Linked DNA regions of Tribolium castaneum. The protein of the gene in region 2 purifies or fractionates together with the protein of the main gene of each other region. This does not show direct contact. Links are inferred from orthologs where the notes say so. Each region holds a gene or a part of one and is shown on either strand. Other genes may lie near its edges. The genes, in order: Tusp, Roc2 and Cul1.

Region 1 (8,026 bases), on a different chromosome or scaffold from region 2:
TGCGCAAAGCTTACTGGATTCGCAGTGGCCATGATTTTTATTAACAATGTTTTTCGGGACTTTACTAAACAAACTCAGTAAACTAAAAATTTTTAGAGATAAATTAAATATTTTCGTTTAATTTTGTTATAATTTAAGAAGTAAGTCATCTAAGGATTCAACGCTAAAGTTTGAAGTTATGTTTCATCTTTACGCTGATCTCTTTTTCTCTCAAAACAAAAGGTATTTTCTCTTTATTATGATGTGCTCTTACGTTTACAATTTAGCGCCTTTACGTACTTTACCTTTTGCCGCATTATTTTCTTATTTTTGTCAGTTTTATGCTCCGCTTTACGTTTATACGTCTATGTGTTTTCTAAGACTCTTATTTTTGCTCACGTTTTGTTTCACTTACCTTTTCTATACTTTTTTTCATAGAAAAATTGTTAGACCTGATCCGGGTTCGAACCCCGACCTCCCCCGTCCTAAGTGGCGCTTATACCACTAGGCCACCAGGGCCCTAGGTCCTGACCGTGTTTTACAGATATTTTAACACAAACATTTTTAAATAAATCTCCATTACAAACGAGTAATAATGAGCCGGAAAAAATTCTTGAAGCAACCAACAAAATTTGATTGGTTATTCCTATAGCAACAAATTTAATTTAAAATGTAAATTAAAAAAAAAATTATATTGTTTATTTGACCCAATTTCTCGTTGCAATTAAACGCGCTTCTGTTTCTGAAACTCTCAATTCGCATCAACTTGCAAATTTTCAAGTACCCTCGACTACTATATTTAATACACAAAGGGAAGCGTTTAAAATAAATCATTGTGAAGTAGTCCCGACTCTCGGGAATTCACTTGCAGCGTCCGTTCTGCAGTCGAAGCTTTAAGAGGATTTACACTTGTTGAAAGTAAAGTAAGTTATGGATTAAATCTAGTTCAACACTTGAAGAAAAAACAAACTCTAAACTTACCCTAATAGTTTGAGCAAACAAATTTCCAATCAAATTACGTATTCGAGCCGGTAAGGGCAAGGCAGGTAGTTGGCTTTCCTGTTGGATAGAATCGTGAATTCGCAACCGGCAAAGTAACTGAAGCGTTGCAATTCTACGCGACACCCAAGCGATGTGAATTTGGGTGCCGGTGGCAAGAAACAGCCTTTTGTCGTTGTGGCCCCAAGTTAGGGCCGACACTGGGGCCTAAAAAATGAGACTATTATTTTGAATCGTGTTAACACCGTACTTTTACCTGTGTGAACGGAACGCAGGCCGAATACAACAAAACGCCTTTCTCGTTATAAAACTTCAGCAAATTGGTGTACTCCACTTGAACTCCGGCGCTTTTGTTGTCGAAAGCGACGCCCGCCACCGCCAACAACTCCCTCGAATTACTCCATTCCATGCACAAGGGTCCTTGCATCCCCGTATCAATCTGAATCGGCGACACGTCATCGAACGTCTTCAGCAGGAAAATGAACCCATTCTGCAAACACACCGCCAACACAAACTTCCTTTCGCCGGCGTTCGCCACTCCCGGGTCATTCTCATCGCCTTCTTCCATCTTGAATTTTTCGCACGACCACGCCATGGACGTGATACCCACCTCTGAACTGAGCTGGACTTGCGATACCATCGCCCCATGCACGTCCATGACGATGATTTGGCCGGAGGTGGTGCCGAAGTAGACTTGTTGGTCGTCGGGTGTCCAGATGCCGCAAGTGATGGTCGCCTCCAGGTTCAACATCGAGGACCAGTAGCGCTGTCCGGCGACGGAACCGACAAGGACGAAGCCGTCCTGGTAGCAGATGAGGGCCATTCGGCCGTCGTGGGACCACGAGAAATGGGTCACGGGAGTGTTGCGGTCGTTTATTAGCTCGATTGACCAGCGACCCTCGTACTTGATCCAGACGAAGATTATGCCAGAGCTGTCGCAGGAGGCGAGCTTCTGGTACGGCTCGTTCCATTTTACAAGGATTACCTAAGCACCAAAGCAGTTATCAAAAGATTATATTAAATTTTAAATTATTAAATTAAATTTTGAGTGATTTTTTTGCTGGATACAGAGTCACTAAAAAGTATGGATACAGTTAAATATTTTCAGAACGGTTTAACAGAAAACCTTGAAATTTGGGAACAGTTAAAAGTGTTTAAATTCTATCATCTGAGAGCTTTTTCAAATTTTTATCGTCATTTATTTTAAAAATTCAAGGCTAACTTAATTTTTTTAAACAGCACGAAGAATCAAATTTAATCATTTTCAAAAAAGAATTTTTTTCTGAATTCAATGATGTAACATGATACCCACCTTTACTTTTATTAAAATGTAAAAAAATAAAAATTCAAAAATTTTCTGGAATAGTAAAACTAAGTTAGCTTTGAAAATACTGTTATAGTGATGTCTGTCACTTGTTTATTAGCCAAAAATTAAACTTGGGTGCAATAATTAGTTTAATAATAGTACATTTAAGTAAAACTGAGCGAAAAAAATCTCATGTTGGTTTATCATGGAGACAGAAAGCCAAGAAGTTAGTGGAAATCAGTTTGAACATCGTTTGTAGCATAAAAATCAAGTATTCCGTGTTTAAAATTTCTTAATTAAAACGTTAAAAGTGTTATTTTAACAATTATTTTAACTTTTACTTATTTTTTGGTTAATGAGCTAACGATAGATAAAGACAACATTTCCAAGGCTAACAAGATTTACATTTTTCAAAATTTTTGATTTTTTTTAAGTTTTGATTAAACTAAGGTATGCATGTGTTATACCACAAAACTCAGAAAAAAAATGCTTTTCTCAAAAATATTAAATTTGACCCTTGTTACTATTTAAAAAAATCAAGTTAGTCTTGTATCCTTGTAACAAATAAAGATAGAAATTTAATAAACATCTGAAACGATATAATTTATATACTCTTAAGCACATACCAAATTTTAATAAGTTTTAATGAATAGTTTTTATAATATTTAACTGTATCCATACTTTTTAGCGACCCAAGTAAAAAAATTCAAACTCTCTAGAAATTTTTTCCCCCGATTTGTCTAATTCGACTGGGCTAAAAGTCAAAAATCTTGCAAAATGAGCTTCCGCACAAAACCCCACACGCGATCATAGATCACACATCCTGTCATTTCCACGAAGATCCTGCAATTTTAATGCAAATCGATGTCGTGTGATAATTTGCCTCGAAAACTGAAAGTGATTTATGTTTTCGCATTGCTGAACACCGATCAATACAATTATATTAAGAAATAAAATTCGCATCATCGTGCACTTTATGCGATACTAAAAACCGGTGCGAATATTCTTTACCAACTTCGTAAACGCAACAAATTTTTTTGTGGGTTGGTAAATTTTGATAAATATTTACTGATAGAAAGTGACCTTGTTTCGTTAGAGAATAAGCCACTATAAATCTTCACTGTTCCTCCACGACCGTCGAGTAATCTTCACTAATTTATTATTCAATCAGCTTTATTCAAATCGATGGTAAATAAATAAACGCAATAATATGGTAATAAAAATTGAACGTATTATGTGACTAGTAGTAAATTTCGTTTTTTGATATTAACGTTCCCTTGGTAACAAATCTATTGATTTAATTTAAGTACAGAAAGTGTTACAGCACCGACGACTCTAATCTCACTCACATTGATTTTAAGCAAAGATACTTCAAATGTCACGCTAAAAATCGCTTTAAAGTGAAATTATTACATGAGCTCTAGCTTTGTAAGAAAAAATCACAAATTAAGTTTCAAAAAAACACTTGTTGTGTCGGTCGAATGCACTTTAAAACGTTATTTTTACCTCGGATCGATGTCCCCTCAAATTATAGTTCGTCCTGAGCGGAAATTCAACGTTTTTCTTACAATGCGACGTTGTAAAAGTCACCCCAACGATACCCCTAACGTTGCCTGTAGCCAGCCAACCTTCCTGATAGTAATTTGTCCTGTTCAGTTTCCATCCTTCGTCCTGAAACAACGCTGAGCTTTAAACTTTGATTCTTCTAATCTAGGAGAAAATTTGTCGATAGATAGTAATTTGCTATTTCCGAGCTGTCGATTCCAATTTCGAAGGAGTGGACCAAACTGATTGGTAATTTCCGCTAAATACGGACCTTGCAATAATTAATGCAAGATTGGATAATTTCCAGAGCCAAGGACTTATCAATTTATTAAAGTGTAAGGCTGGTGCGATTTCCGACACGTTTTCTAATAAAACGAAATGAAAATTCTCCTCACTTTCCGCCAACTTTGGCCTAGATAACGGCCTTTCATATTCACAAGTGGAACGTTAAACCGAAACTGTGCCTTGATTCCGAATAAAAGCCAAACTTGCGAAACTTTTTCAGAGATATGAGCTAATAACTAGTACCAGCTTTTGCCAGAATTCAAAATCAAATGTTCGGTTTTGATTACCGTAAGTTTACCGCAATAAATGTAATTTGTAAGCGTTTAAATTTAAAGCTATATTTCTATCCCGGCGCATCCACCATTTTTTACAAAAACTAACTTTTTGTATTTTTTTTCTCAACTGACTAAAAACATGACTTCCTATAAAACCTCTTTAGGAAATTTATTGCTTTTCCATCCCGTCCATTATTTCCCAAAACTAAACGCTCCACGTCACGCAAACGCACTCATCTCAATTTTTCCTCTTAATTGCAACTCGCTGTATTTTATATACCGTACGAAAAATCGATTTTGCAACCCTCTGTGTAACGTGTTTACGTTCCTGACTTGTGAATAATGTAATTTCACATATAAAAGAGCCCGAATACCTGCACTTAGGCGTTTGTAATGCAAACTAACTTCTAACTTACGAAGAGGGTGAGTTTGGAGCTTGATTAAGTGCTCGAAACTACGGTTTGATAAAAATACCGATCAATTTATTCTCTCGATAAGAGGGTTGTGGATAAGGGTGGAAACGTCTTCTTTTGTCCAGTAATTGCTTGGTCTGGGAGGAAATTTGTACAAGTGTGGGTAGTGTGTAATTGCTTAGCTGAGTTTGTTTATGGGGTGTTGTGTCTCCAACGGAAAATACAGGGTGACCCAGCGGTGTGTAATCGGTCTATAGTTTTTCTACTATTTGAAGTCCACAAACAAAAAATGTTTTAAACGGAACACCCAATATATTTGTGCATAATTAGATTCTACGCAAAAAAATAATGTAGCTTTATATAAACTATTATGAGTCTATCTTTTTCGTTTTGGAATTATTCAACTTTTCGTTATAAAAAAGACCTATTTTCCGAAAAATTTGCAACAGAAAAACTTAGAATACCTTGTAGTTTTAGCTAATAGTCGACTTTTAGTTAAAACACGCAGATAATATACAGAGTGCCAAAACAAAAAGTTGAATAACTCTTTTTTTTCAAATGGAACACCCTGTATTTTATTAAATGTATTGAAAGCATTTTTGATAAGCGTCCTAACGGTATGGAGTTTCCATAGCAAATTTAAAATTTTTTTCGAGATTTTTGAAAAAAATATATTTTATTACAATACAGTGTTACCCTAGAATCTGATTAATTTTTTGACATGTACTAATGTGACTAATTACACAAGTAATCTAATTATTACCTGATACATAAATTAATTTCACTCATCAATAATTATTAATAAAATAAATAAAAAATAATTTTTTTATTTTTTTGAACACTTTAAGAAATATTGTAAATTTGCTATAAAAACCGTATATCAATAGAAAGCTTATGAAAAATGCTATCGATACGTGTAAAGAAATACATGGTGTTCTATTAAAAAAATGAGTTATTCAACTTTTTGCGTTTTGGCACACCCTGTACATTATTTCCGTGTTTCAAGTAAAAGTCGACTATTTCATAAAAATACAGGATATTCTAAATTTTTCTGTTGCAAATTTACCGGAAAATATTCATAGGCGACTTTGCAGCGATTTTTCAAAAGTTGGTCTTTTCTACAAGGAAAAATTGAATAATTTCGAAACGAAAAGAGATAGACACATAATAGTTTATATAAAGTTACATTATTTTTTTGCGTAGAATCTAATCATGCAACAATATATAGGGTGTTCTATTTAAAAAAATATAACTTTGGTTTACCACCTTTAAGTCGCACCCTGTATGTTTTGTTTTAATGTCCTTGATCCAAAGCTGTGAAGCCTTCAAAGTTGAAATAGGGGTCCTAACCCGAGTCAATGCCACTGAAAGTATTCGACTCGCAAATTCGCGCCCCTAATAATGTTTGACAGCGTCTTTAATCCGTAATGAACCTTCAATTCCCCAAAGCAAAACGTCCGACGATATGTCTATTTAGTTGCAAAGAGAAATGTATTTTTTTAGCCAAAGCACAAAATCTACAAAACCTCGAAAAAAATGTTTCACTGTTGTAGAAGCAAGAATCACATTAAACAATATATTCTACAATTTTTAAGCATTCAAGGTTCTGAACAATACTTCGTAGATATTGCTTTATGTTGTCATTATTTTACTTTTATTGATTTATAGGTTTCCTGTTTTTTTTAATAAATGATAGACGAGAAAAAAACCCATGGAAATTATTTCAGTCAAAGAACAACATTTCGCGAAATTTAGAAAAAATCAATAGTCATCATAAGTCATTCATTTCACGAAACATTCCTTCTAATGTGTTTTTTACGACACCAATCAAGGACGTGAAAAATCAAATCATTTGAAATTGTTTTTCTTGGAACAAATCCACCCGCTCTCAGCTAAATCCGACCTAATACGGGAATTAGGGAGGCTCATATTTTATTTACACCCGTCATAACAAAGAATCAATCATTTCTTTCCGAGACAATTCGCAGGAGAATAGTTGTTGTTTCACTTCCTTATAATTTCGTTTTCAATTTCGATAATTCGGGACAATGGTTAGGGTGCGACAAACTCATCACCCTTATGATTACATTATATATCTTACGACCTAGATAAAAATTTATAAATAGATTATTGTCCGAGCACTTCAATCATTATATGATGGCGAGGTGTCGTCTTTTGCGTCAAGTTGAAAAATAATAACGGTGCAAGATAAATCATTAATGGCTAAAGAAATTGCCATGAAATTCGATATTTCACAGCGAAAGTGGAAAGTGCACGTGGCGTCTTATTTTACACCCTCATCAAGCTCGAACTAAAGCAATTAAAATCAACGATATATTTAGACTTGTGGATCAGCAATTTTCAAAATTATTAAAACAACAATATTTGTGATATCAAAACTTGATTTCAAATTTTTCCGTGCTTATTTAATTAACACCGTATTGAACTTTATCACAACGAGAAATAACGTGCCAGGTTTAATTTAAAAATGGGTTTTTGTATTGATTTAAAACGTCAAACAAATTTTTAGTCGTGTTAATTGGATTTTTTTACAAAATCTACTATTGCCAAAGCAGTTGTATCCTATTTTGAATTATTTAAATAATTAAAACACCTTTTAAGCAATTTTTTAAATACATATTATTTTCCCGAAAAATCCAACGAAATTTTAAATCGTTAAATGATAAACTTGATGCGAATGAAATTATTATTGACCTAAAAAACCCTAAAACATCCATTAGTTGATTTTTCTCTAATATGAGCGCTAACGAACCATAAAGTGGCGAACACTAATGACTCATGCTAGGAAATAACTCAATTTTTTGCCACAAAAAACCTAAAATTTACTTAAAAAATACCCTTAAAATTTGGAAAAACGTAAAATTTTTTGAAAAAAAATTGTAGATTTTACTTCTGAGATGTCCTTATACACAAGACAGTTTTAAGTTTAACGTTTTAAACAGGAAATAACTAAATTTTTTTCAACACTATTTTTAATTAAACTCATTTGTTTAGAAAAATTTACCATTACAATTTTCTGTCATTATTATTCAATTTTAATAAACTAATTGTCAAATGCCTACACAATGACATTTTATCATCCATTAAAAAAATAATAAGAAACAATTCAATTAAAAAATTATACAAATTGGAAAATAAACTCACGTTAATGTGAGTGTATTTTTTGTGTTATAACTGGACTTAAATACAGGATGTATCAGAAA
Region 2 (7,045 bases):
ACTGCGACCTAAGGGGCAAAGGTGAGGCACTTGGGGAGCGCCAGTGGCTCTCGGGGGCCCTTCTGGCGGGGTAGGGCGACGCCCCCGCCCCTTGAAACTCGTCTTGTTCGCGCTGTTTCGCCGCCAGATGGTTCTGATATGCTTTAAAGGGCGAGTAGGTTTTGAAAAGACTATCGTTGGGCTCGGCGCTTTGGTGAGGCAATAAATCGTCTGTCCTTTGGTTATCGTTTCTTTGGTGATTCAATTGGAATGTGCTTAAACGTGAATTGTGCCGACCTTCCGGCGGTAGACTTTGATAAACCGGCGGTTCTTCCTTCTTAGGTTCGGGCGGTTTTAGCGGTTTGTAGGAACATTGCGCGTTGCCGTTGGTAATATTCGTCAGGAATTGAGCAAGATGTTGGGTGTTTGGTGGTTGTTGCCTTTGATGCGAGGTAAAAAAACGACGTAAGGTTGACTGAGCGAGGTTTGGTCTAACCAAAATAAACTCGATTATAATTGAACGAAACTAAGCAGTGCGGGAAATAACAGTACGGGCAACTTGGTCAAGTTAAACTTACTGTTAGTTACCTTAGTAAACGCATGCACGGTTTTAATAAAAACCACCACTTTCTTTATTAATCACTCAGAAAACACAGCAAGCAATTAATAAAAACTAAAGTAAAAGAAATTATAAATCAAAATCGAAACTAACCATGCAACATACCTAGGCGCTGTTGGATTCGCCACAGCGTCTGCCTCCTTAAGTGCGTTCACCACCCACTCCCCCACATTCACCAGCTTTACTTCGTACTTTTTAATAAACGACAAATTTTTCAGTTTCGCATATTTAGGCCTCTGTTTTTGATCTTTAATTAAACTGAAACCAACGTTTAAAGACCGGCTCTTAACGATTCAATGTTAATTAAATAGGAGGCGACAGCCACAGATCACCCCGGTTACAAATTGTCTTAAATTATTATGTATATTGTTTTCGAAAATATCTTTATTTCTTTACACCTAACTACAATTTTCTGTATATCTTGTGTTGAAGATTATTATTATTAATATTATTAGAGATTCATTTTGCGAAAAACGCGTTCATTGAAGTCAAATCACAAAAAATATTTCGTGAAATATCAGCAAATCATGTAAATTATTACGTAAATTCTTACTTTGCATAAAAGCAGTGTGTCGCCTCCTATTTTAGGCTCCCACAGTGCCATACTTACCAAAATTTAACAAATTCCCTAAATTCCGGACTAAAAGTCTCAGGTAAGCTTGGCGGATCTTGTCCTAGCACTTTGGTTAGGACTTCAAAATCGGTTGTACAGTTGGGATATGGGAAAACCCCCGTTGCTAATTCAACTAGAGTTATGCCTAATGACCAAACGTCGGCACGTATGTCATAGTCGGGATTTTTAGGGTCGGGTTCAATGCGTTCCGGCTAAATTAAAAAATTAGAAAAAAAATAAATGTGGGGGAAAAACTCACAGCTAAATATGCAGCACACCCAGCGCTCCTAGTTTTTGCCATTGAGTCCACCAAACGTCCACTAATACCAAAATCACACAATTTTATATGGCCTTTAGTGTCGATCAAAATATTTGAAGGTTTTACATCCCTATGTATCACACCGTGCTTATCTTTTAAATACGATAAAGCCTCTACAGTCTGTAACGTTCAGTGAGCGTGGTGCTTGAAAAGGAAGACGTGTACTTACAGCAACTGTAACTTTACCCAGGATTTCTTCAGGTATCGGTTTACCTAACCGTTTTAGTAACTTATCAAAGCACGTAGTCATGAGCTCCATGCATATCCAGACTTCCGAATCGGTTATAAAACAGCCTAAACATTGAACTATATATTTACAGTCGTGTGACTTTAGGACCACTTCAATGTCCATAATAATCCTTTTGTTTTCGTCGTTGTTGCCCGAACGTCGCATTTGCTGAAATGGAAGCCCGTGAAATAAATTGTGTTAATTTTTGGACCTTGATGTTTACTTTGACGGCTATGATTTCGCCACTTAGTTTGTGTCTCATTTTGATAACGTGACCGCAGGTCCCGAAGCCCAGTTCTTCAAGTCTTTCCATATCTTTTATATCAGTTTCGTATAGTTTGTTGTTGATTGTTAGGTTACCACTAATTTTCATGATTTCTTTCAACTTCCTATCAGTCTCTAAATTTTCACTGCTTCTTGGCGTGAAAGATAAATCTCGTGGCCGGCTGGGGACCATGCCCACTGGGAAAACCAAAGATCGCTCTTATTTTCCCCCTTAACTTATTAAACAACTTACATGGGAGACTCGGGCGACTGTGAGGAACATCACCATTATTTCTGGCGATACTTTGACCGGACATTTGCAGATTGCGTGGAGGATTGTTTCCTTGTCTTAATCGATCTAATAAATTATTTATTTTCTGTTCTTGACTAGACATAATTATACTTACTACAAAGTCAAAACCAATGACAGCTATAACCTGTAACTTTTAGCTGCCAAAGGAAAAACACCATCGGTTGGCCAACCTGACACAGTTGCTACCGAACTCATCAGAAATCAAAAGTTCCCACAAATAAAACAACCAGTTCTGTTTTACAATTTTATTAATAAAAGGAAATACAATTAATTATGTTTGGGCATGTTTGGCATTATGATGCCTCTTTAGTTTTTGACTTTCCGTGAAAGACTTGCCACAATTGGGAAACTGGCATACATAAGGCCTCTCCCCAGTGTGGCTCCTCAAATGGATGATCAGGTGGTGCCGTTCGAAAAATGTTTTAAAGCATTCGTCACACTTATGTAAGCGCAAACCCTGAAAAGTACACGAAATCATTATTTGCCCATCCTCTGGATGGACCATTCTTGCTGACACAACGGGCAGCGATTATTTTGCTTGACCCACAAAGACATGCAACAATAGTGAAACGAGTGGTTGCACTCCCCCCACACCACCACGCAATCCTGCTTCCCGTACGAGTCTTTTTTGCTCTCAGCTTGGCACCGCAAACACGCGTCCATCACTTGCACGCGACAAATCGCACAAGTGTCGCATTCCACGTCCCAGCTCCACATTGCAACAGCGTTCCATTTTTTCAAAGTGAACATTTTCTCGCTCTTGGCTCCCTCGCCGTCGAGGCGCTCGGTGTTCTCGTTCTCGTCGGCAATAGAACTCGACATGGTGGCAGTTATCAACCAAGGGCGTTATTTATTATCCTAATTGTAACCTCAATATTTGCGATGACGTTTGACGCGTTAGTAACAGTGCCACCAACAAGAACACGCTAAATTACAAAAATACCCACCTGATGGTACCTTTGGTGCTTCAGGAGCTCTTTTTTGGTATAGAACGCCGAAGGGCAGGACTGGCACTTGAATTCCTTGATTCCTGTGTGAATTCTTTCGTGCCTCTGCAAACTGCACTTTGAAGCAAATGCTCTGGAACACTGCGAGCAGTAAAATCTGACTCCTTCATGATGCTTTTTTTCATGTGCCCTCAGATTACTTCGCACAGAAAACCCAAGATTACAGAGCTTACACACGTAACCTTTCACTTCCAGGTGTATTTTTTCGTGGCAGGTTAATGAATTTTTTGTGATGAAGCCTTTGCCTGTAATAATTTTTTACTTGTGGGGCGTTAATAGAAATAATTGTTACCACAAGTTACACACAAAAACGAGCGTTTCCCCTGATGTTTGAGCTCATGCGTTTTTAATGTGTAGGCGGAACTGAGGATTTTTTTACAATTCTTCCAACTACAAACGAATTTGGCTTTTTTAAACGCCTCCAAATCCTCTGTTTCTATTTTATTTTCAAAACTATCATGTTGCGAATTTTCTTCTTCTGTGAAACAGTTGTGAGACCCATACTCCTCCAAGTTACAAAACTTGTTATCACATTTCGGACACGAAACTTCTGCTTTAATTTCCTCCTGACTAACACTTATCTGGTGTGAATTTAAATGATTCTTAAATAAATCATGATCACTGAACTCCCCTGGACATTGTTCACACTTGAAGATTTCTTCTTTAGTGTCCTTACTTTTGGCTTCGCAATTTTTTAAAATCCTTCTGAAACACTGATCCACTTTGCGAATGTGTTGCTTGTAAAGCGAAAAACATTTTATGGTTTTTTTGCACTCCTCACACACAGAACGCGGCAAAAGCTCCATAGATTTATCATTTACCTACAAAAAAGTTCTTTAATAAATTACAAATTGGGCAAGTTTTTTTCACCTTCACTTTTGTGCATTCGTAAATTTCTTTTACTAATTTTTTGTCTGTTTTTATGTCGTGTTGGCCGGGCTTTGTGTGACACAATCGGCAGTTTTTCAGCCTTATTTGTTCGAATAAAACCATTTTCGTTTTTGTTGGTAAACCGTACCCTAACCTTACTTTTTTTTAATATACAGTATGTCCCAGAAAAGTTGAGGTGGAAGGATTAAATCGAATTCTATTTATATTATTTATTTGAATATAATAGTTACTGGTAAATAATATGCACATAAAAATAAAATACACTGACTGTACATCATAATAATACAGAACAGCATGATAGTGGCAAACGTTAGTAAAGAACTAAAAGACGATAAAAATCTTATCACACTGTCCTAATAAACTTAAGTTAGATGGAATTTGTATGTACACCTTAGAATACAGCTGATAAAAATTTCAGTATTTAAATAACATGGACTATAATAGTATTTATACATCAGACTGGAGTAGTGCAAGCGTAAACAAAAAACAATCCCAATACAATCTATTATGTTAAATAATAATTAATCAGTATTTATTGTTAGATAATACCTCAATACAAAGAAAACTTACTTACGAACATGATATAACAATCTTTTGAACTATTAGTACAATCTAACTTAATTATTTCACAAAATAACAAGTGTAACCTGTCAGTCTGGTTTTAATAAATGCACACAATTTTAAATCCTCAATCACCTCTAATCTTAATTTAATAAAAAGGATCGACGTAAAACTAGTCTAGTTTTAGCAAGCAAGCTAACAATAGTTTATTTGTTTTCAGTAAACAACCTGAAAAAAATTCTCCCTTTCGAAATTTCCAAATTTAAGTAGCTTATCAGGTCACCTCAATCTCTCTAGTAAAAGAAACAAAACGAAAAAAATGTTTCATACGATTTTCTTAATTATTCAGTCTGTGTAATAAGTATATACACGAGTTAGGGTAATCAATGCTCGCTCTGGATCTGCAGAGGCACATTTTGGAGTATACTGTTTCCTAAAGCGTTCTATCCCTCCGAAACCGACGATAAACTGCTCCTAGTCGACCCCATCCCGATCTTGCAACTCTCCTGGCTCAGATCGGGCAAATCTGGAGGCAAAGCCAGAGGAGTACTGATCGGCCCATAAACCCTTTCCTGTTCTTCCAACTGCTGGGCAAACGCCTCTTCCAATTTCTAAACAATTACACAATTTACGACACAAAAACGAGGAGACAACGGGTGTTAGTTAGTACAAGCAAGCAAACGAAAACACAATCTAAACAGCAGAATCATCATCGGGATTCGAAGGAAGGAAAACACTGGCTCTGCTACTACTACCGCCACCGTGGGTCCAAGACCGCACCCGCCCCCAAGTGGGTGGCGAGTCCCTAAATGTGGGAGTGTTAGGTGTAGTTAGTGGGAATTGAATATCCTGATCGGTTGATGACGATGTGCTTAGTCCGGTTACATGCAACTTTGGTAAGTATTTGACGAAATCCGACGTTACCAACTCTGTGTGCATCTCCTCCTCGAGTTTCTATAAAGCGTGCATTGGTATTAGTGTGCATGCAGACAATCTTGCAGAAGAAAAAACAATAGCGCGCTGGTGTCTTACCTGTTTTCGCGGTTTGAGTTGAGCTTTCCATTCTTTTAGTTCGCGACTGAATGCTTCTTCGCGTTGCTTTAGTTTCATCGTTTCGTGTTCGAGGAGCATTTTACGCTTTTCGTTCTGGAGTTGTTCGAGCTCTTTGATGGTGGCGTCGCTCATTGCGCGGAGCTCTTCGAGTTGGCGCTGGTGTTTCAGCTCGAAGCGTTGCTGCTCGGCCTGGTAGCGCTTTTTCTCCTTCTCTTGGAACTGAGAATTTTTTTGTATAATCATTATTTTTAACAACTTTCACATAATAATGGTTTTAATGGTTAAAAAATGTGTTAAATCATCGAAACAAACAAAAATAATAAAATTTTTGACTTCAGTTTTTACGCGGAAACGTTTTCAAAAAAAAAAATAACAAACCTCTTTAAACTTATTCTTCTCTGCTTCCGGATCGTTCGTCCCGGAAATTGATATCCTCATCGACTCCCTGAACATCAGCTCTCTCGCCTTCATCTCCGTCCTGATCCTCTTCGGCAGCGACCTTTTTTCCGCCGCTTGTTTCTTTAACAACTCCTCTTCCTTCCTCGCCGCCCGTCTCTTAATCTGCTCCTTCTCCTTCTCATGCCTCGTCAACATCTGATGCCTTTGCAGAATAAATATCTCCTTAATCTGTCTCTTCATCAACTGATGCTTCTCATGAATCTGCCTCTCTTCGATCTCCCAAAGCGCCGCTTCGCGCGTCCTCGTCAACTGCTGCTTCTGCTGCAAGAACTGCCTTTCCATCAACGCAATTTTCTCACGATGCGAATCGCTCAGCCTTCGCAACGAACTCTCATGATTCTCATTGAGTTTCTCCAAAAACGCCTTCTCGCGCTCGAGATGATCAGCATCCATTTTCTCCTTTCGCAGTTTAAATTCGGCCTTGCGCCGCTCCTTCGGTAACAAATCGATTTCGGCTTTAAGTAATCTCAATTCTTGCTTAAGCCCGTCTCGGAAAATCTTCAACTCGCGTTCTTGCTCCCCTCGAATTTTCTTCGACATAGCTCGGAGTTCGGCATCTTGATGCGCTTCGGCTTTCTCGATTTGCATCCTCTGCTGCCGACTCAACATCTCCAAGTCGTTTTCGTACGTCCGTTCGAGATTCACTCGTTCTTGTTCGAACTTTTTATCCTGCTGTTCCAGCGTTAAATTCTCCTTAAACGCCAAATCCTGGAATTGTTTTTGTTCCTGTTTTTGCAA
Region 3 (7,496 bases), on a different chromosome or scaffold from region 2:
TTGACAGTTCTAGGACAATTCAATCAAAACATAAATACAGTTGTGTATTTTTTAGTATAGCATATCACTTAAAGTACAATTTATTTTTCGAATATTTACAATATACAAGCCACTCGTTGACTCCGCCGGTTGTTAATCAAAGACAGTTGGGTGACAGTTGCGTTTGCTGAATCATGCCAAGTAGCTGTAGGTGTCCTTCTGACCCTCAGTCCTCTCCAGATACTCCTTCTCGATCAGAATATCTATGCATTTCTGCAACAAAACACAAATCAAACACACAACTAATACGAGAAATATCATCACCTTGATGATGTGAACCCTCGGCTTGAACCTTGACGACAACTGGTTCAAAACTTCAGCCACCAACTGTTGATGTTTCAGTATTTTCCTCATTTTCATGATTCGTACAATCGCGGCTTGAATCAGCAACTTCCTGTCCTCTTCAATATGCTTGTGAGTTGTTTCTTGCTCCATCTTTAGCTCGGTCTTCATCGGAATATTGATATTGACCCGAAGTTTTTTACTGGAAGAAAAACTCAAATCGGGGGACACCCCTGGCGCGTAAACTCACTTTTTATATCCTAGGAAAAGGTTCACAACCGAGTGTGGCGCGAGCTCGTTCTCGTCATCATCGCAAGTGATCAGCTTCGCTTTAAGTAATATCTGTATGACCTGTATTAGGAAATCTGTTTTGATTTGTGTATTCTCCTCGAGTTGAGCTATTGTCCAACTTTCAGACACGTTGAACTGGAGCAGCACAGCCATTTGAAACGTACTAGCTTGGAGTGTGTATCTATTTTTAAAACAGTTCGTGTGTAACTCTCCTTTCGACATGTTATACAGCCAATTTAATTTCCGGCCCGAATGCTGACCGGAATAGAAATTTGTAAATCTATGAACACTTCTTTCAAGCTGCAAACGTACAATTTATCTCCCAACCCTACAACAAGCAAAAAACGCACCTCGGTCGGCAATCCGAAGGTGAAAGATTGCTGGAAAGGCCATGATCCGGAAGATAACACTTGAATACTAAAATCTATGTCTAGGGTTTCGTTTGATTTTAATAGATGACTTTTGAATTGCTCGTTCAGATCTTTAGACACGCCAATGTCCTAAAAAAATACAGATTACGCCAAAATCAACGCTTTCAAGGCTGTTTTTCGAAAGAATTAACGATAAAATGGCCCAAAAATGGCAACATAAACCGTCATTAAAGTAGTGACTTTTAATATTTTTTAGCATTTGAAATTTCAAAATTATTTCATAATAATCATTTGAGATCTCCCGACTTATTTTAATGAATTTTCGGCTTATTCCGGAGGACTTTCGCAAAAAGAAGCATTTCTGAGTGAAAAACGTACAAAAAACAAGAAAAAAATTTAAAGTTCAATTTGTATTTTTTGGAAATTGTCAAATAAAAAGTTGAAAAAATTAAATTTTTAGCCAAAAACTTGGAAATTTAGCAAGACAAAAAGAAAGTCGCCTTCAGTTCAAAGTTACCACTGAAATCTCCAAAAGGAGAGCAGGCCTTGAAGTCAGTCATGAAAAACGGAAGAAATGCGTATAACCAAAGTCACTTTGCAAAAAATTATGTTTAAATTCGCATTTCCGTTGATTGTTTGTTTATCGATATGATAAATGTGCAGAAAATCGTTTATAAATGTCTCGTATTAACGCAAATTGTTTATTAATAGAAAATCATTCATTCTCGGGGTCATCAATGACCAATTAAAAACCAATTGTACCAACTTGCCTGGAACATCCTTTGCAACTTGGAGGTGTACTCAAACCCGCATGCCTGTTTCAGTTTTGAGATCATTGAAGCTTCAGCATCGTCACTCGCCGACATGTGCTGGACCAATCGCTTGGCCAGCATTTTACTGTAGAACTTTTGAAAAACGTCCTTATCTTCGATATATTTGAACACAACCATCTGAAAACACAATCAAAACCCCACCCAAAACAAAACCTCGTTACATACGACTTGGTTTAACGTATCTTCGAGCTCCGCCTCCTCCGGATTCTTGCTCGACTTCTTCAGCAGCAAATCACAGTATTTCGCGAGCAATTCCGGCGATTTGCTGCTCGAATTGGCTTTTTTGGTAACGGCATTGGCGTTGATGAAACGACCACATGCCTTGTCCAAAGCCGCCACAAAACCGCTATCGTTGTTGAACGCCACCAAAACAAGAGCGTTGTACTTCTTGTGCACCTCCAGAATCGTGTTGACGTAAATTTTCGGGTCCTAAATACAGGTTATTAAAAACTGGGAGTTGTAGTAACAGTTAGTTACATTATGGGCGCTTTCTCCGCATTTTTCAATCGCTGAGAGCCCCTGAGCTGCGATATGTTGCTCGAGAAGCGTCCGTAATTCCCCTAAACCGTCCGGAATCCGCGCTACCAACGAGTACATCCGACCCAAATCCTCGTCTTTGTCGGCGTCCAACAACTGCTGGAACTCCGAATGGAACATGTCGAGGTGCTTTTTAATGAGGACTCTTTCGCAGGTTTTGGCTAAACGGCCGCTTGTTGTTTCGTGTAGATAGACTTGGACGCGTTTCTGTTCTTCGAGGAGACGTTGTTCGGCCTTTTTCATGTATTCAGTGACCGGATTTTGTGCTAGGAAGTTGTTACTCTCTTTTAGGTAGAAGCGTTCAGTGTCTTCCAGAAACATGTTTTCGAAACTCTCTTTGTACACCGATAGGTTCGGTCCTTTGGCCCCTGGTTCCTCCTCGTTTAGGCCCAATTCCACGTAACAGTTTATCACGCCAGAGACTAAACGAGTGTTGATTGTTTCGCCGTTGCGCTCGCGTTCGATCAGTTTCAGAACGGCAGTTGTTACCTGGTTTGAACGGGGGAGAAAAATAAAAACGACAGCCCCGGATAGGGGCTTGCAAACTCTCAATATTTACTAATTTAAAACGAAAGCAAAAACAAAACTTTTAAAATTAATATAATTCTATTTATTACCTCAGAAGTATTTTTTTTATTTCATTTTTCTGAGGATTTTTCCATACCAGATTAGCTAGCGTAAGTGGGCTAAAATAAGTTTATTTTTACCGTATCGCAAAAAATTATAAACACACATTAAATGCCTGTTTTTCTCTATGCAAGTAAATCTTTTCAAAATTTTTACAAGTTCCTTATACGCAATCAAAACAAATTAATTAATCGTAAGCGACTGAAAAAAATATTTCAAATTTTGATTTATGTCAAAATTACGTAGAAAACATTGTAGCTAGCCTCAAAAAATCCTCCAAAAAGTTGGATGATCTCACATTAAATTGTAACCAAAAACATTCAGGCAAACCAGCCCTTAATATTAATTTATTAATTTTAAGAAATTGTAGAAAAAATATGAGAAAATTCACATACAGGGTGAGTCAATAGTGGGTTAAATTTAAATGTTTTTTTGACCTTCATGTGGAGTGTAATCTTTCAAATTCAAAATGTCAAATCTTCCTAAAGGCTCCAGATCTTCAGCTACTCATACTCTCCGAGATTATAAATATATTTTTGAAATTTATTAAAGCTTTCATCAAAATCGCCTTCTGCTGAATTAGCCGACTTTTCGGTTCTTTTTGGATAATTTTGAAACTGTTCTCACCTTCTAAATTAAATAAAAAAAAAAGAAGTTAAATAAAGTACAGTGAGCCGTAGATGACCCCTCGTTTTTCCCTTCCCCATAAATATTGATAGTTTTCCGCGCGAATTTGTGGCTAACCTGTTTGTTTAATTGTTTGAACAGATGATCTCGCCATGTCACCAGTGCGAGCTGATAAATTTCGTAGATTCCTTTCCTTCCCTCTTCGCATTCTCTCTTCACCCAATGTCGATTCAAATACGAGCAAATACCATTCAGAACCTTGCTACTGAACTGATACTCCTCCCATTGACGCGTATAAAATTTCAAAACGCCTTCACCCATCCGATTCATCCCGTCCTAACAGAAAAAAAAATGAAAAAATTGATTTGTAAATCTTCCGGTTTCGAAATTACTACGCAATAATCAAATCACGTCAATAATAACTTGTTTTGCTACATGTCTGTTTCCGCCTTTATTGCGTTAATTGTGTTTTTATTTGTGCGGCGGACCAAACAATACGCATCGAAACAACAAAACGCAGTTGGTTCGCAAACGTGGATTCATAAATTAATAAAATTATATTCATATTTGTCCAGTACGTTTTTTTTTTTCCAAACAGTTAAAACAGATAAGATTACTGAATAATTCACTCGAATTTTTTATCTTTCTCTGGTGTCTTATTCGAATTGAGATTCCATTAAGGTGGGTTTAAAAATAACACGTATTGTTATAATTACCTTTTAACCAAGGTTAATGACAGAGTTTAACTGGAATTTGCATGTAAACGTAAAACATTGTAGTCTTTACAAAAAAAAAATTCCAAAGAAATTATTTTGTCTCAAATCGCTCAGTTTATTTTATTTAAACCACAACAACGAATATTTTTTTTAGATTTTAGTAAATTTCATCATAGATTTTTTCCAACTTGTTCGTTCATAAAAAGCAAAACAATTCACGACTAGGCTTTTATTACTGTCAAGATTTGCTGGCGATTATTGCGTCAAAATCATGATTCATTCAATTTCTTGTTTCACAATCTTATTCCGCGCTCGATTAACACGACCTGAACCGTCTCAACTAATTTACGAGTCGTTCCAACAGATAACGATGATAAAATGTGAACTTCATCCTTTGACCAATTTAAAATTGTAATTTTCGTTATCCCTTCGTGCATTATTCAGTCACACTTTCTCCACGCTTCCACTTAATATTTTAACACTGGCATTTCGTTTTTTTTTTTTTAATCAAAAACAGATATTCCCTCGATCGATAAATTAAGCGTCACCGGAAAATTTCCTCAACCGAAAATTAGTCTTGCATCAACTGCGGTAATTACAGCACGAAACGTCACTCAAGGAAAAACAACAATTCTGCAATTTTCGGTATTTTTCCCCGATTTTGTTATTGCCAAGTGCACTTCTTATCCGTCGACCCTTTGAACTTTCGCTGGAAATAATCGCTGACCTGAATTTTCACCGAAAAACGTATTTACTTTCTTGCACCGAAATTTTGTAATAAAGCGGAAGTAAATGTGGCGCCATTGCCATAGCTCGTGACCAAACAACATTCAAGATAATTAACGTTAAAACACTGTTGGAAACGAGATTTTTTTTTATCTGTGGCGAATCGATAACGTTGCGTAATTGATACCATTATAAAAATATGAAATATTCAAATACGTGGTCGTTCAACTCGCAACAAATTCAATTTTTATGATGCGAGGGGTTTGTTTCGATTGTGTGAAATCCAATCCATTAGATTTTCGTTATTTCAGGATCGTTAGTCCTAAATTAATTGTTGGCACATTCTTCCCTTTGAAATTTTAACTCATTTCATTCTTGAACTGCGTCCAATTATTTTGGGACGGAAACCAAAAATAATGAGTGATTTATTGAGATGAATTTTCATTCATTTGAGATAAGGAACTGGCGGTGGCAATCGCCCACACACCACGAGCAAACAAACGTTTCTTCTACAATTAGCTCACGCTGTAATGTTATCAGAATGTTATCATTTTCACAAAATATTACCAGCACCATCAATAAACTGAAGAAAATTAAGATAAATAATAAGATAAGATTAACCGTTTTAAACAATCTTCTAGAACAAACACAGAATCATAATCAGATTGAAATTTAACTAAAAAAAATGTAAAACTAAAAAATAGTCTTATTGAAATGGACAATAATTCTACTTTAGAAACATTCCTTTAAAAATACCACTTACCACCACCAAAAAATTGTTCTAAAACGCAACAATTTGTGTTAATTTAATTGTTTAAGAAAGTTAAGGTAAATAAAACTAAGCAGCCTTTAAACAAAACCTTTCACAAAGCAGAATATAAATACAGATTAAAATTAAAGTAAAAAATTGTAAAATCAAAATTCGAAAATGTATCGAAGTGATATTAAAAATAGCAATTTTTACGTTCAAAAACATTTTTTTATTAAAACTATCAAATTAAAACTAGTCAAATTAAAACACACAGTCTAGGAGTCGAATTATTTAAGAAATTGAGAATAAACTGCATACACAGTTCATTTAAAAAAAAAAGCACATTTTTTGCATCTCTGAAAAACTGTAACTATTTAAACTTATCTGGCGTTTATCTGACGATTGTAAAATCCACCCTTAGTTAAATATCATATAATTATTACAATTTGAATAAACTTGAACAAATATAAAAAAATTATAATAATGTCTTCTATCCGTAACAAAAATATCCAGTTTTGAATAAATTTATACTCGAAAAAGTAAATAACCCCAAATTTCAACTACAAGGATGACATAAAAAACAACAAATACATAGAAAAATATCCTTAAAAACTAGCAAAGTGCTTTTAAGCAATGATGCAATGCATATGTCTCATTACTATTGTAACTTTTTTTAAGATAAATGTAGAACAGACAAAATAATCGGCAAAACCAAAGCCTTGGTAGAGTCATCACATCTCTTTAATTCTCTCGTTAATTCTTTAATTAGGAGTAAGATAAACAGTAGAGCAAATCCTTGTGTTTAACAAATTTAATTCTGACCCAGTGCATAAAACTTGGAAACAAAAACATGTACTTTCGTTAGTAGCACAATTCCGGTCATATTTCCCGTTTTTTGGGCGAAAATGAATGCAAAAGGCTTACACTCAGCAGAGTCACCAGATAGTTCCTCAGGAACTCCCTGATCCTCTTGTAGAGCTCGAGGCCCACGAGCTGGGCGCCGCCCCCAACCTGGCTCTTCTTGTTCTTGGTGGAGATGCTGGAGGAGCCCCTGCCATTGGCCTGCTGGTGCACCGAGGTGCAGTAGTCATAAACATGGGTGTACAGCTGGATGTAGAGGTACTTGGGCATGTGCTGCTGGCTGTATGCATGCTCGATCCCCGCGTGCAAATCCCCCCAAATCTGATCCAGGTCGATCTGTTTGAGCCCCGCTGTGTTATTGACGGAATTTTTATTCGACATCTCCTCAGCACTCCACAAGCAAAACGTTCGCACTCTGAAACCACCAAGACAAAGATCACGCCCGGTCAAAACGGCACGTCCGATTCGCAAGTTAGAAAGTCACAAATGGAATTTTTCGAATTTGTCTTTCACCTTTTGTTTGTAAAGCTGCACCATAATTATGGATGTATTATTTATGAGTTGGGTTTGACTCACCTCGGATTCCTATATCATAACAAAAATTTACACTATATTTACAAGTTTTAACAACAACGTGGAACTTTAAATTTACTTTAGGTGGCGAAAATAAAAAATTTATTGTTGCCTATTTTGAGATACAAAAATTGACAAATCTAAACCCCGTGAAGTCGGACGCACTGCCACGACATGCCTGCCAACCTCTCCCAGTGAAAGTCATCCCGGAACCGCGCCTAACGTCACGGCGGTAGCATAACCCCAAAACGCGCCAATTTTA

What was found.
Region 1: the proteins of Roc2 (region 2) and Tusp purify together in Homo sapiens (co-immunoprecipitation; 3 studies listed by BioGRID and IntAct, with this or other methods). This does not show direct contact. The link is inferred for Tribolium castaneum from reciprocal best matches to the Homo sapiens genes RNF7 and TULP4.
Region 3: the proteins of Roc2 (region 2) and Cul1 purify together in Homo sapiens (affinity purification with western blotting; 5 studies listed by BioGRID). This does not show direct contact. The link is inferred for Tribolium castaneum from reciprocal best matches to the Homo sapiens genes RNF7 and CUL1.

The regions. Positions count from the first base shown.
Region 1 is NC_087400.1:572,588-580,613, forward strand, and holds part of Tusp (tubby-related protein 4), read right to left. Parts: intron 3,956-8,026; coding exon 3,791-3,955; intron 1,964-3,790; coding exon 1,235-1,963; intron 1,186-1,234; coding exon 961-1,185; intron 1-960. UniProt on the Homo sapiens protein: May be a substrate-recognition component of a SCF-like ECS (Elongin-Cullin-SOCS-box protein) E3 ubiquitin ligase complex which mediates the ubiquitination and subsequent proteasomal degradation of target proteins.
Region 2 is NC_087397.1:2,861,355-2,868,399, reverse strand, and holds Roc2 (RING-box protein 2), read right to left. Parts: upstream 3,271-7,045; 5' UTR 3,159-3,270; coding exon 2,814-3,158; 3' UTR 2,567-2,813; downstream 1-2,566. Other genes in the region: dual specificity mitogen-activated protein kinase kinase 7, read right to left, coding at 1-470, 704-856, 1,209-1,423, 1,471-1,650, 1,700-1,927, 1,983-2,221, 2,277-2,340; Slik (STE20-like serine/threonine-protein kinase), read right to left, coding at 5,239-5,406, 5,828-6,067, 6,227-7,045. UniProt on the Homo sapiens protein: Catalytic component of multiple cullin-5-RING E3 ubiquitin-protein ligase complexes (ECS complexes), which mediate the ubiquitination and subsequent proteasomal degradation of target proteins.
Region 3 is NC_087396.1:22,570,424-22,577,919, forward strand, and holds part of Cul1 (cullin-1), read right to left. Parts: exon of another isoform or gene 7,422-7,496; intron 7,393-7,421; exon of another isoform or gene 7,238-7,392; intron 7,077-7,237; 5' UTR 7,043-7,076; coding exon 6,725-7,042; intron 3,944-6,724; coding exon 3,725-3,943; intron 2,843-3,724; coding exon 2,294-2,842; intron 2,246-2,293; coding exon 1,982-2,245; intron 1,934-1,981; coding exon 1,754-1,933; intron 1,113-1,753; coding exon 963-1,112; intron 913-962; coding exon 572-912; intron 524-571; coding exon 304-523; intron 253-303; coding exon 172-252; 3' UTR 1-171. UniProt on the Homo sapiens protein: Core component of multiple cullin-RING-based SCF (SKP1-CUL1-F-box protein) E3 ubiquitin-protein ligase complexes, which mediate the ubiquitination of proteins involved in cell cycle progression, signal transduction and transcription.